Linked DNA regions of Yarrowia lipolytica. The protein of the gene in region 1 purifies or fractionates together with the protein of each later gene. This does not show direct contact. Links are inferred from orthologs where the notes say so. Each region holds a gene or a part of one and is shown on either strand. Other genes may lie near its edges.

Evidence for each region.
Region 2: the proteins of YALI1_D14329g (region 1) and YALI1_C24460g purify together in Saccharomyces cerevisiae (affinity purification with mass spectrometry; 3 studies listed by BioGRID). This does not show direct contact. The link is inferred for Yarrowia lipolytica from reciprocal best matches to the Saccharomyces cerevisiae genes BFR2 and ESF1.

The regions. Positions count from the first base shown.
Region 1 is NC_090773.1:1,430,237-1,436,796, reverse strand, and holds YALI1_D14329g (uncharacterized protein), read left to right. Parts: upstream 1-3,835; coding exon 3,836-5,323; downstream 5,324-6,560. Other genes in the region: YALI1_D14391g (uncharacterized protein), read left to right, coding at 1-2,831; YALI1_D14333g (uncharacterized protein), read right to left, coding at 2,962-3,483; YALI1_D14304g (uncharacterized protein), read right to left, coding at 5,465-6,355. UniProt on the Saccharomyces cerevisiae protein: Involved in endoplasmic reticulum to Golgi transport. Involved in a protein-transport step blocked by brefeldin A, which disrupts the Golgi apparatus and its incoming protein flux. May also be involved for mass growth or cell proliferation.
Region 2 is NC_090772.1:2,444,468-2,450,256, forward strand, and holds YALI1_C24460g (uncharacterized protein), read left to right. Parts: upstream 1-1,573; coding exon 1,574-3,454; downstream 3,455-5,789. Other genes in the region: YALI1_C24434g (uncharacterized protein), read left to right, coding at 1-768; YALI1_C24488g (uncharacterized protein), read left to right, coding at 4,400-5,789. UniProt on the Saccharomyces cerevisiae protein: Involved in the 18S rRNA synthesis. Required for the early cleavages at sites A0, A1 and A2.

The DNA.
Region 1 (6,560 bases):
GCTTTGCCAACGGCATCTTCGTCGATCTAACTCTGGACGAGATTGTGCGTATGAAGTGGAACGAGTCCGAGGCCGATTTGCTGCAAAACATCCGGTGCAGATTCGGTATCCAGTTGGCCAACGAGCACTACCATCCTACAGACCATGGCGCCACACCTCGTGCTCTCAAACGTTCCGATGGCTTGGCCTTCCAGGATTTCATAATGAATATGGTCTATCGCAAGCCGTCCAGTGTGCACAACATTCGAGCTGATCTGCGAGCGGTGATGGACCAGCTTTATGAGGCCATTGGAGACCCTGACAAGAACATTGCCTCCACCAGCCACAACATGACTGTTCTTGGCCGGTTCACGGTGGCCCCTGTCACCTGGAATTATATAGAGAACAGTCTTCGGGGTGAGTCGTTCTTACCATTTATGACGTCAACTGACCCGGTGCTTTCCGCCTCAACGGGAGGTTTTTACTGCGTTCAGGGAATGTTGGCTCTTGCCAAGTTTCGACAGGGTAAGAAGGCAGCTGCTCCAGGACGAACAGAAGACCTCCAGGCAGCAGTTAAATTCTTTACTAACGACATTCTCTGCTGCCCCACTCGTTATGAGTCATGGTTCGGTATTGCCAACGCATACGAAATGCTAACGGAGGACGATCTTATGTGGAGCGCAGAGAAGCTCGATGTGCCCAACTCCATTGTCAACATCAACCAGCGCAAGGCCCTGCTGTGTGGTCTCAATTCTGTCAATCTCATGCTTCAACAGCGGGACGAGAAGCCTGCGAACCCGCAGTTGCGCACCTTTTTCAACGCTGTCATGAAGGAGTCGCAGTGGTTGTTCCTCAGCAAGCTCTTCTACTCTGCCACGGCGAACCCTCTGCACGGTGCGTCTTTCAGACAGGCAGACAACAAAATCTTCTGTGGTATGAAGGGTCTTTACATGCGGCAGAATTTGTCCCTTCCTCGTCGCAAGCAATGTTACCAGGTTGTCCGAGCCTGTCTCACCATCAGTATCAACAGCAAGGACCAACCCCCGGACTGGTACTCTTATTATCTCCGATCTAAGGTGTACAGCAAGCTGAAAAAGACCACCCAAGCTATTCTCGGCGACATTCAAAAGTCCATTGCTGTGGCACCCGACAAGATTAACGGAGACATTCTTCTCGAGCCTCATTACAAACTTGTAGCCTACCTTTACAAGGCCGTAAAGCGAGGCAAGTTGACCGCTGCAGAAGCGTACAAGGAGTTGAAGAAAACCCCCCACTTTGTCGAGTACTTGGGAGAGGATGCTGACATGGAGTCTGGAGACGACTCTGACTCGGACTCTGAGGTTGGCTCTGATTCCGAAACTGAATCTACCAAGGAGGGTCCTATTGCATCTGCTACTGAGCCTGCCGCTGATACTGCTCCACCTGTTGTACCCTCTGAGGGAACTTCTGGATCTCCAATCTCCATCGATGACGCTACTCCTGTTCCTGGGCCCGTTACTGCGGTCACTGCTATTGCCGCTCCCCCAACTGTGGCTGCTAAGCCCGAGGAGAAGAAGAAGCCTCTGACTCGCATGGAAATCAAGTTTTACAAGTCGTGCATTGAGACATTGCGTCGAATGAAAGTGTTGGACAAGCGAAAGTGGCACCACCGGCCCCCGTTCCTGATTGCTCGCATCCACAAGGAGGTATTTGAGGATTACCGAAGTGCCAAGGAAGAGATGGTGCCGTTCTTTAACCTCAAGAACCAAAGCAAGGCCCCCGTACACATTTGGAAGCCCGACTTTGAGCGAGCAGGCAAGCATTTCCAGTACGTGTTTGACTACCTCATGTTTTTTATTGTTCTGCTAGACAAGACCGACGACACGGACGCCATCACTACCATTGGCAAGAAGCTGCGTCGATTCAACAACGGCATGGTGAATCATTTCGAGGTCTGGGAGTTCACGTGTCTCACGTCCAACGTTCTGATGAAGCGGGTTACCAGGATCCCTGAAAAGCTGCCGGACGCCATCATTCCCTCATTGCAGTTTGACAACTTTGATCGCATTGCGCAGGGTCTGCAGGATAAGATCACCAAGAGCAAGGAGCCGGCTTCGTATCTGCTGTCTTTGCTGTACTATGCATCTGAGTTCAGACGGCTGAACAACGGCTTTGGATCCACAGGTGTAGTGGATGACACAGTTGTTTGTCTGTATCTCAAGATGCTCATTGAATACGCTGGTACTTCACTACTGGCGGACAACAAGAGCCGCTCATCTACGCCAGTGGTTCTTGATGGAGCCAAGTTTGAGTTTCAGCCAGGCAGTGCCCAGCCTCCTGCTCTTCCTGCTCCTGCTACTACAGCGACCACTGCTGGAAAGAAGGAAGATGGCAAAAAAGAGAAGACGCGGGTTACTCGAAAGGATATTCTTCTGCGGGCCACCAATCTCATCAAGGCCTGCTCCAACAAGGTGGGTGAGAACATCAAGCTCGTGACGACCAAGGGTCCTCCAGCTGTGGCCTCCAGTAATGGTTCCTCAAGCAACAGTGGCACTCGGTCCAATTCGGAGGAGAAAGAAAAGGAGCCCACCGAGGAGCCTGAGAAATCTACCCAGGACTCGGATGTAGAGATGGCCGATGCTAACCAAGGCAACACAGAGACCACTGTTGAGCCCGAAGCAGAAGGGGAAGCTGACAAATCTGCGGAGGAGGACAAATCGGACAAGTCTGCTGAGGAGGAAAAGACAGACAAGTTTGCCGAGGAGGAAAAGTCCGCATCTGCCGAGCCGGCTGGTAAGAATACGCCTAAGAGCAAGTCGACTGGTTCCAATGGTGTCATAACCATTGATGAAGAATATTCGGCACCTGAATAAGGATTATGATTTATTAATAATTTACACGTAGAAATACAGTACTTGTACAAAACACAGCCTGCAACTTATAAGTTAGCCCTATCACACAACCATCTTGTGTGTGTGTGTGTGTGTCTCTCTCTCTCTCTCTCTAATCATCATCGATGGCAGCAGCCGATCTAGACACTCCCCACTTTTCTCGGTCTCGTCCGTCTTTGTACATGTTGATATCTTCCTTGGTTGGTTTCTCCATGGTTGCCTGTCTGAGGTTCTCATCTTTCAGGGCCTGTTCTTCCTTTTTGCGCTGGTCCGATTTCAGTTGCTCAACTGTGTATTCAGCAAACGCCTGAGGCTCAATTGCTCCACACAATAGTTCCACGGCTATTGTGGAGTTCTTACTCTTTAAACTCACCAGGCGGGTTCGGACGGCCGACTTGTATTCCGGCGAGATTCCGTAGAGGTCAAAGAGTCGCTGTTCGACCTCGTTTGCCACCTGAGTCGAGATTTCGTCGTCCTCCTCGTCTTCGTCGGCGGCTTCTGCCAGGGCCTTTTGCAGCGACTTTTTCGTTCCGTTTCGCACCTCCATGGGCGATATCGCCGACACCTTTTTTGTGCGCGCCTCGGCCTGTGATTTCAGGTACTTTTGCTTCCAGTTAGTCGGCAGCTTGGCCATGTCTATGTGGTTCTTGAGAGGAAGGCAGGTGTGTATGGAGGGAGCTTGGATAACTTGGAAGAAAGGTGCATGAGACAGGCATGAGGGATGCTGGGATCAGGTTATGAGGAGTGGTGAATGGAGAGATTTTTCTGTGTTCCAGAGCAACAGTATGACCAATCAACATCTTATGATATCACCACTGTGGCCGCCGTCTCATTTATCTCTTTCATTCCTGGGCTAGTCTCTGCCTACTGTCCAGCTCGTCATGGGTTACCCTGCATATGCAAGATAGCGAAATTTTGGCAGGTCTGGAATTTTTTTTGACTACAGTTTGACAGAGTGCAGGCTCGACTTGAAACAGTACACAAACATGGCGAAATTATCTCTGGCCGAGCAGATTTCTCAACTGGCTAACCCCAAGCCCAAGGATGTGGATATCGAGAACTTTGAGGACCGTGACGATGGTTCCGAGAGCGGTGGAGACGTGGATTACGACAGTGATCTAGCGACAGAGCACTATGTCAAGGTCGGCAAGAGCAAGCTGCGAGATGATGCTCCTGCTCTAAACCCCAAGTACAAGGCCGGCAAGGTGAGCAGGAAGGCTCTTTATGACGACGAGGACGAGGACGGCGATGGCGCTGACGGTTTCATTGATGAGGACGACGAGGACGATGAGGAGGACGATGAGGAGGGAGAAGGCAATGGTTTCATTGACGACGAAGTTGAGGTTGATGAAGAGGACCAGGACGAAGACGGAGATGAAGACATGGAGGATGAGCAGGATGAGGACGAGTCTGACGAAGAGCTGTCTGAGAACGAGAATGACAGCTCGGCTAGAGCCACCCTCAAGGAGCTGCTGAGGGAGGAAAAGAAGGCGTCCAAGCAGCAGGCCAAGGAGGCTATTGTTTCCGACGCACAAAAGGGATTCGCCATTCACAAACAGACCGATCTATACGAGACACTTCTGGACGCGCGAATCACATTCCAAAAGGCAGTCCAGTCTGCCAACGCTCTTCCTATCAGCGATACTAAGGCCGAGGAGCTCGGTGAAGACATCACCAACACTCTTCAAGACACAAAGGCAAAGTTGTCGGACTTCATCTCCCAAATAGCCAAGATGCGACACAACATGGCTGTGCAGGACAATGTGTTTGCTGCCGACTCCGTCAAGCTATCGACCAAGCGAACTTTTGATGCCACTCTGGATAACATGGACAAGCTGGATACAGAATTCAAGGCATACGAGACTTCTGTGCTGAGCAAGTGGTCTCAGAAGGTGCAGGCCTCATCTGCGGCCTCCGCTCTCAACTCCTCCAAGTTCAAGGCTCTGAACCAGTCTTCTGCCAACCAGGTCGCTGCTACTCTGGCGGACATGGACCGACTTGTCAAGCGAACTCGAATGAATCGATCCAACGTTGTCATTCTTGGCGAGGAACAGATGGGCGCCATTCAGGACGCCGAGGGCGAAAACTACTACATCTTTGATGACTCAGACTTTTACCGAAACTTACTCAAGGATCTGATTGACCGACGAATGGTGGATTCCGGCTCTCAAAGCAGTGGCGTCAAGACCTGGACTGCCACAAAGGCCAAGACCAAGAAGAACGTGGACACAAGAGCATCCAAGGGTAGAAAGCTGCGATACCATGTGCAGGACAAGGTGCAGAACTTTGCTGCTCCCCGGCCGGTTTTCACCTGGGAGGACGATCAGATCGACGAGCTGTTTGCCGGTCTTCTGGGGCAGCGAGTCAACTTCAACGAGGACGATGATGGAGAGGAGAAGGAGAAGGAAGAAAAGGAAGAAAAGGAGGAGCAGGAGTTGGTTATTCCCGACGACGGTCTCCGAATCTTTGGTTAGTATCAGTGGTTTTAGCATGGGGTTTTAAGTAGATGTACTTTAATAATAGAGGCAGGTGCCAAATGAAAATGAAGAGTATACAGGGCGTATTAAGTAGTGTAATAAGAATAAATAGTAGTAAAAGTACAGTATATACTGGCATTATTGTTTGGCCGGTTTCTTGATCCCTCTGAGTTTCAATTTCGGCCGTGGCTTAGACTGTAGCGTTCTGGAGAGCTCTCTAGTTTGTTGTGCAAGTGATCCTTTCTGCTTGGTAGAATCAAACAGTCCACCGTGGGATAGAGACTTCAACCTGAGTTCTTGCTCCGCCACTAAACCCCTTTCCAGGTGAGGAACCATCACTTGCGCTTCCTTAGCAAGAGGTAGATCCCGCAGAAGTCCCATTTTGTCCTTGAGAAGGTTGTCTCTTTGGTCTTGGGCTTCCAATGCGCGTTTTTGACCTCTGAACCTGTTCCTCATCTTATATGACAGGTCCTGGTGGTATCTGGCTTTGTCCAGATGTTCATCATACATTTTCTGTGTCTCTTTGGCCGCGTCATCAGCCGAAAGCACCGACGATTTGAAGGTCCATTCAGCGATTGTCTCTCTGCTGTCTTCGGACTTAATATGACGTTGTTTGAGCTCCTCCTCGGCCTTTGCAGCCCTTTGTTTGACGACTTCACGCTCGACCGCCTCAAAAGGGTTGCTTGGAGTTTCTTCCTCTCTCTTCACAACCGACTGTGTGAAGGTAGCTCCTTCTACGGTCACGTAGGTAGCGTTCTTCGGATCCGTCTCAATGACAATGGGATGTCCACACTCAGCATGTTTGATATCAAAGCGCCAGATGGGAGACGACAGATAGCTGCCGTGGCGTGTTTTGACCGCGTTGAACCGTACTCCTTGAGCTATGGTCTTGTCACATCCATGGCATTTGGCAGACAGAGGAAGCTCGAATCTGACAGTTGGTTTGCGCGGATTCGCTCCCGCAAGCTGGTTGGCGGACGACTTGCCGTCGTAATCTGGCGGGTAGTATTTATTGGTCGCTTGCGACATTCATGGGTGTTGTCTAAGTGTTGTGTATTGTTGGCTACAATTGATTTTATTTTCTCCATATGCAGGTTGATAGCGATGAGGTTATTGATAGGCATATTCTAAGTATTTTTGTTAGGAGTACAGTTGGTAGTTACTTGGACCAGGTGGAAGGCAGTAGAACTGCGTGGAACGAGAGCATGGCCACGTGGGGAACTTTTAAATAGCC
Region 2 (5,789 bases), on another chromosome or scaffold:
AACGCCCGCGAAATCAGACACCTGCTGTTCAACCAGACCGCCATTGACGAGCAAAAGGCCACCTGTGACGCTCTGCTGGAAACCCTTAAACTGATTGAAGACCTCAAAAAGAAGGCAGCCGAGGAATCGGAAAAGAAACCCACCAAGAAGAAGACGGACGCCGAAAAGACCTTCAACGTCGAGGTCAAGCACGTGACCGACAAACGCAGCTTCAACAGAATCAACACCATGTTTGAATCGTCGAAAAACCAGATCCACGGCTACACTGCCAAATGTGCAAAGGTAAAGAACATCTACAAGATCAAGTTGGGTTCCCAACAGGCCCCTTTTGCCGCCACCTCCAAGAAAATCAAGTGCGTGCAGGAACTGTGGCACGGAACCCGTCTCCAGAACATTCTGTCTATTCTGGGAAAGGGCCTGCTTCTTCCTAAACTGTCTCCGGGTCAAAAGGTGGGTGCCATGTTTGGGGACGGTCTGTATTTCGCCAACCAGTCGTCCAAATCGCTCAATTACTGCGACGGCATGCTCTGGACCTCAGATGGAAGCGGAAAACCAGAGACCATCTACATGTTTCTGGCGTCGGTGGCTCTGGGAAACTACTTTACACCCGAGGGGCCTGTCAGTACCAACCCCCCCGAAGGTTACCACAGTTATTGGGCCAAGGCTGGTCAAAGCGGAGTCATGAACGACGAGATTATTGTGTTTGACGCGTCTCAAATCCGACTCGATTACTTGCTTGAGATTGAATTGAGAGCTAGCGACGAGTAACTACAGTGTATTGATGAAATTACAAGTACAAATGAGCTGAGAGAAAGCACCAGTATTGCAACCCTGTCATCCACTCACAAAAGACGTAGATAGTTTGGTTTCTCAGACGAGTTGCGGGACTCGGAGTGTGAATCAGCAAGGGAAACAGACCCAACTTGCTCCTGGGTCGTAGTAATCACCTTCTTGTCGGTCTCATGAACTCCGTTGTTGCTAGCAATAGAAGCAGTTGCTTTGGAGGGCTTTTCGCTTTCGTCCTGACGTTCCATCATAAAATGAGGCCCCGAAAACAGCAACGGAGCCCTACTTATAGTAAGCTGGTTTATGGCACTTGCTACTCCCGTTCTAAACTCAAGATTCAAAGCCCAACTATCCACTTCTCTCAACCCTAGGAGAACACCAAGATGCACTTTATGGTACCAAAATGATGCTGGGGATCTCCTGGTCGTGGCTGTGCTACTATCCTATATTTCATCCATACAAATTTTGCCACTTTGAGAGTCCGGCATTAGTGTGACTCCAATCGGCGCGGAATGCGAGCATCGGGGACCGGGGAAAAGGGGAAAAAGGAAGCTGTTCGAGTCTGGACCTGATTGGACCACAGACGGCTCTGCGACCTCCACCCTTCATTATCTGCTACATGCACTGCACTTGTCTGGCCAATTCTCGCCATAGCGAGGACATGATGCAGAAGTCCAAAGTCTAACTATAAAAAATTCGACTATCTGCACAATCTGAAATTTTCAAGTTTCATTTTTCAATTTTCATTTGCAAATCAGCTATCGTCACCATATCACCAGAGAGCGAAATGCCACCCAAGGGAAACAAGGAGAGAAAGACCGTGAGCGACGACCCGCGATTTGCGGGAGTGCATTCGGACCCGCGGTTCTACATGCCGCGAAAGAAGGACATGAAGGTGACAGTGGACTCGCGGTTCAAGAAGGAGCTGCTCCACAACAAGGACTTTCACAAGGGCGCCAAGGTCGACAAGTATGGTCGAAAGCTGGAGCAGCAGGACGCGCAGCTGCAGCGGCTGTATAACCTGAGCGACGATGAGGAGGAGTCCGGTGAAGAGGGAGACTCCGAGGAGCCCGAGACCAAGGCTCAGAAGAAGCCTCTGTCTGCTTTGGACCGAGCGCGGGGAGAAGGAGTCGATTCTGACGCCTCTTCGGGCGACGATTCAGACTCGGACGACGACTCGGACTCGGACTCGGAGGTGGAGATGGAGGAAGAGGTGGTGCTGGCGGACTCGCAGGACATTGCCACCGGCGACGAGAGCACCACTCTTGCGGCGGTCAATTTGGACTGGGATCACGTGCGGTCGGTCGACCTGATGGCCACCTTTTCTGGCTTCATCCCCCCTAAGGGCGAGATCAAGTCTGTGGCCATTTATCCCAGTGAATACGGCAAGGAGAAGATGGCCGAGGAGGAGCTCAATGGACCGGACGCGCAGCTGTTTGAGGAGAAGAAGAAGCGGGCTGGCGACTCGGACGACGACTCGGACGACGACGAAAAAATCAAACAGGAGTTGCTCAACAACGACGACGGCGAGGAAATCAACTCCAAGAGCTTCCGAAAGTACCAGTTGCAGCGAATGCGGTACTACTACGCGGTTATTGTGTGTTCGGATGTCGCCACGGCCCGAAACATCTATCAGAACTGCGACGGGACCGAGTACGAGTCGACCGCCAACTTTTTCGACTTGCGATACGTGCCTTCGGACATGACTTTTGACGACGAGCCTCGAGACAAGTGCACACGGGTTCCCACCAACTACAAGCCGTCTGATTTCGAGACTGCCGCTCTTCAGCACTCCAAGGTGAAGCTCACGTGGGATGAGACTCCGGCCGAACGAAAGAACGTGACTCTGCGGGCGTTCAACAAGAAGGAAATGGATAATGAGGAGCTCAAGGCCTACCTAGCATCCGACAGCGAGTCTGACGAGGAGGGGCGGGCCGATCTCAAGGCAAAGTACCAGAGCTTGTTGGAGGGCACCGGCATCAACAAGGGCGAGGACGAGGATGGAGAGGAGGATGTGGATATGGAAATCACCTTCACCCCCGGACTGGACGAGTCCAAGAAGAGTGCTGCTGAGCCCAAGGAGGAGGGTGAGGAAACCACGCTGGAGAAGTACAAGCGAAAGGAGAAGGAGAGACGAACGGCCCGAATCCAAAAGTGGCAGGAATCCAAGGAGGCCAAGGAGGATGAGGAGCATGAGAAGGAGGCCAAGAAGCCCAAGAACAAGGGCAAGAAGGAGCGGGAAAAGAAAAAGAAGGAGATGGAGCAGTTAGCGTTGCTGGTGGACGAGGAGACCGACGCCAAGCACTTTGATATGAAGGAGATCATCAAGGCCGAGAAAAACGCCAAGAAGAAGTCCAAGTACAGACAGCAGGGTCTTGTGGAGGACAAGTTCGAGATGCCGGTCGACGATCCTCGATTTTCGGCTCTTTACGACGACCACGAGTTTGCCATTGATCCGTCCAAGCCTGGATTCACTCGAACCAAGGCCATGGACAAGCTGCTAGATGAGCGCCGAAAGCGGCAGGACCGAGGTCAGGGAGGTGTCAAGCGAAAGGGCGAATCTGGAGAGCCTGCCAAGAAGAAGAAGCGAAAGGGAGACCAGACCGGCGAGGGTGTGGAGAGTCTGGTTGAGCGAATCAAGCGAAAGCACCAAAAGGATAACCAGTAGGGGGACTAAACCAAGCAGTTAGGTGATTGTTGCGGTTGGTATATAGATAATGGAGGTAAGATATTGGTGGTACGGTACATACAGTAGTAGTAGTAGTAGTACATATTACTACACTACAGTACAGTACTTTAGGCAATCTGACAGTGGGTAAACCGTTGTGGTAATTTTTCCCGCCGCCGAGTCACCATGACTCCGTGGATACATTTCGACTGATAGATGTAGAGTTTCGGCCCGACAGGAGTCACAGCCGTCGGGATGGGTTCAAGGTCTCAGTTTTTCATCATCAAAACAGTTGTTCCAGTCAAACTGCCGGCATAGAACTCTTCCATGTACCTCAGACGAAAAAAAAAAAAAAAGCTCCCTCTAGCGACTTCTGGTGACCGTTTGGATGCAGCCATTTCGGGCTAGGTTAGCGCTAACAAGGGGGAGGACAGGAGGACAATAGTAGGGGAGTATCGGTGTAATGAGACGTAGAATGTAGTTGAAATGACGGGCAAGTACTTGAAAGTGCATTCACTTTTCGAAATCACTGGTCCTCAACTTGTATCCAAACTGGTGGATCCAAACTGGTGGATCCAAACTGGTATTTAATCTGCGTCTTATCAGCGATGGACATAAGAAGGAGGTGTTGAATGGAAACTAGTGGTTTTCACCCGAGGTGGAGAAGAAAAGGACCAGATTTTTATAATCATCGAAAGAAATCTCGAGCTCATCTTTTGGCCCGATTTGGCCCGATTTGGCCCGATTTTGGCCCGAACCTGCTGTTATTTCAGCCCTTGAATGTCTCACATGGCATACAAGGTCTTTTTTGGGAAGCAAGATAAGACCCTGCGGCCATGATAGCGGATCAATGGAGTTAAAAAAGTCGATCTAGCCCTACTTGTTGGTATATATACCCTGGACGCGCTGCGGGGTCGCCATTGCACGAAAAAAGACTCCACGAAAATGTCGCACGAACCGCCGGGAACCACCATCTTGGAAAACCATGCTTCCGATGCTATCATTCTCCAGCCCACTCCGACAGCCGATCCCAACGAGCCGCTCAACTGGTCCAAGTGGAGAAAACACACAAACTTGTTCATTGTCTGTTTCTTTACGCTCATGGCGTTCACCGCCAACTGTGTATCGACGGTTTTCTGGACGCCTCAAAATCAGGAGTTGGGATGGACTCTGGACCAGCAGAACAACGGATACGCGCTGTCGGTGGCGGGTCTGGGTCTGGGATGTCCACTAATGATCCCGTTTGCGGAAAAGTTTGGAAAACGGCCCGTTTATTTGGTATCTTCGGCGATAGCTCTAGCATGTGCGGCTTGGATGGCCAAAATGACGACCGTGGGCGAGTTGTACGGCTCCAGCTTGCTCCAAGGTATGGCCACCAGTGTCACTGAGACCATAATTCAAATGACGGTGGCCGATCTCTACTTTGTGCACCAAAGAGGCACCTGTAACGGCATCTACATGGTGGTGGTGGACGTTGGCAACTTTCTCATCATGGTGCCGGCGGGATATATCACCATGAGTCTGGGGTGGAGATGGGTCTACGGAATCATTGCTGTCATAACCGGAGCCCAGTTTCTTTCCACGTTGCTCTTCTTTGAAGAAACAAAATACACAGCCGGAACAGAGACCCTGGTGGGGGTCGGAGAAGACGAAGAAGACAGGCCAGAGGAGAATCTGAGCAACAAGGACGCAAAAGACATAGTCCGCAACTTGGAGTCTCCTTCGACGGAGTCTGTCATCATGGATTTCTCCGATTCAGCCTCCTCCAGAAACGCCTACCAGTACCAGAAGAACCCTCTGTCCAAACGCCTGGCTCTGGTCACCTATACCCCAGGAAGCTGGAGAGAATTTGGTCGGAAAATGTACACCCCGTTTATAACGCTGTTTGCCTACCCAATCGTCACCTTTGTGGCCATCCAATACGGCTTCATGCTCACGTGGTTGGCCATGGCAGCTACTACGGTGGCATCTGCGTTTGCCGAACCTCCCTACAGCTTTTCCTCCGCCGCCCTGGGAAACATCAACATTGCTCCCTTCATTGGAATGGCACTAGGGTCTGTCTACGGAGGCTGGTTCAACGACAAGACAATCATTTGGCTGTCCAGACGCAACGGAGGGCAGTACGAACCCGAAATGCGACTGTATGGGCTGATTCCTGCAAACCTGACTCTCACAATCGGACTGTTTCTGTTTGGACTTCCCATTGCCCACGGGGTCCACTGGATGGTGCCCACTCTCGGATTCGCCATCATCATGTTCGGATTCGGCTCTTCCGGAGCCATTGTACTGACATATCTGCTGGACAGCTACAAAAACATTGTTGCTGATGCATTTA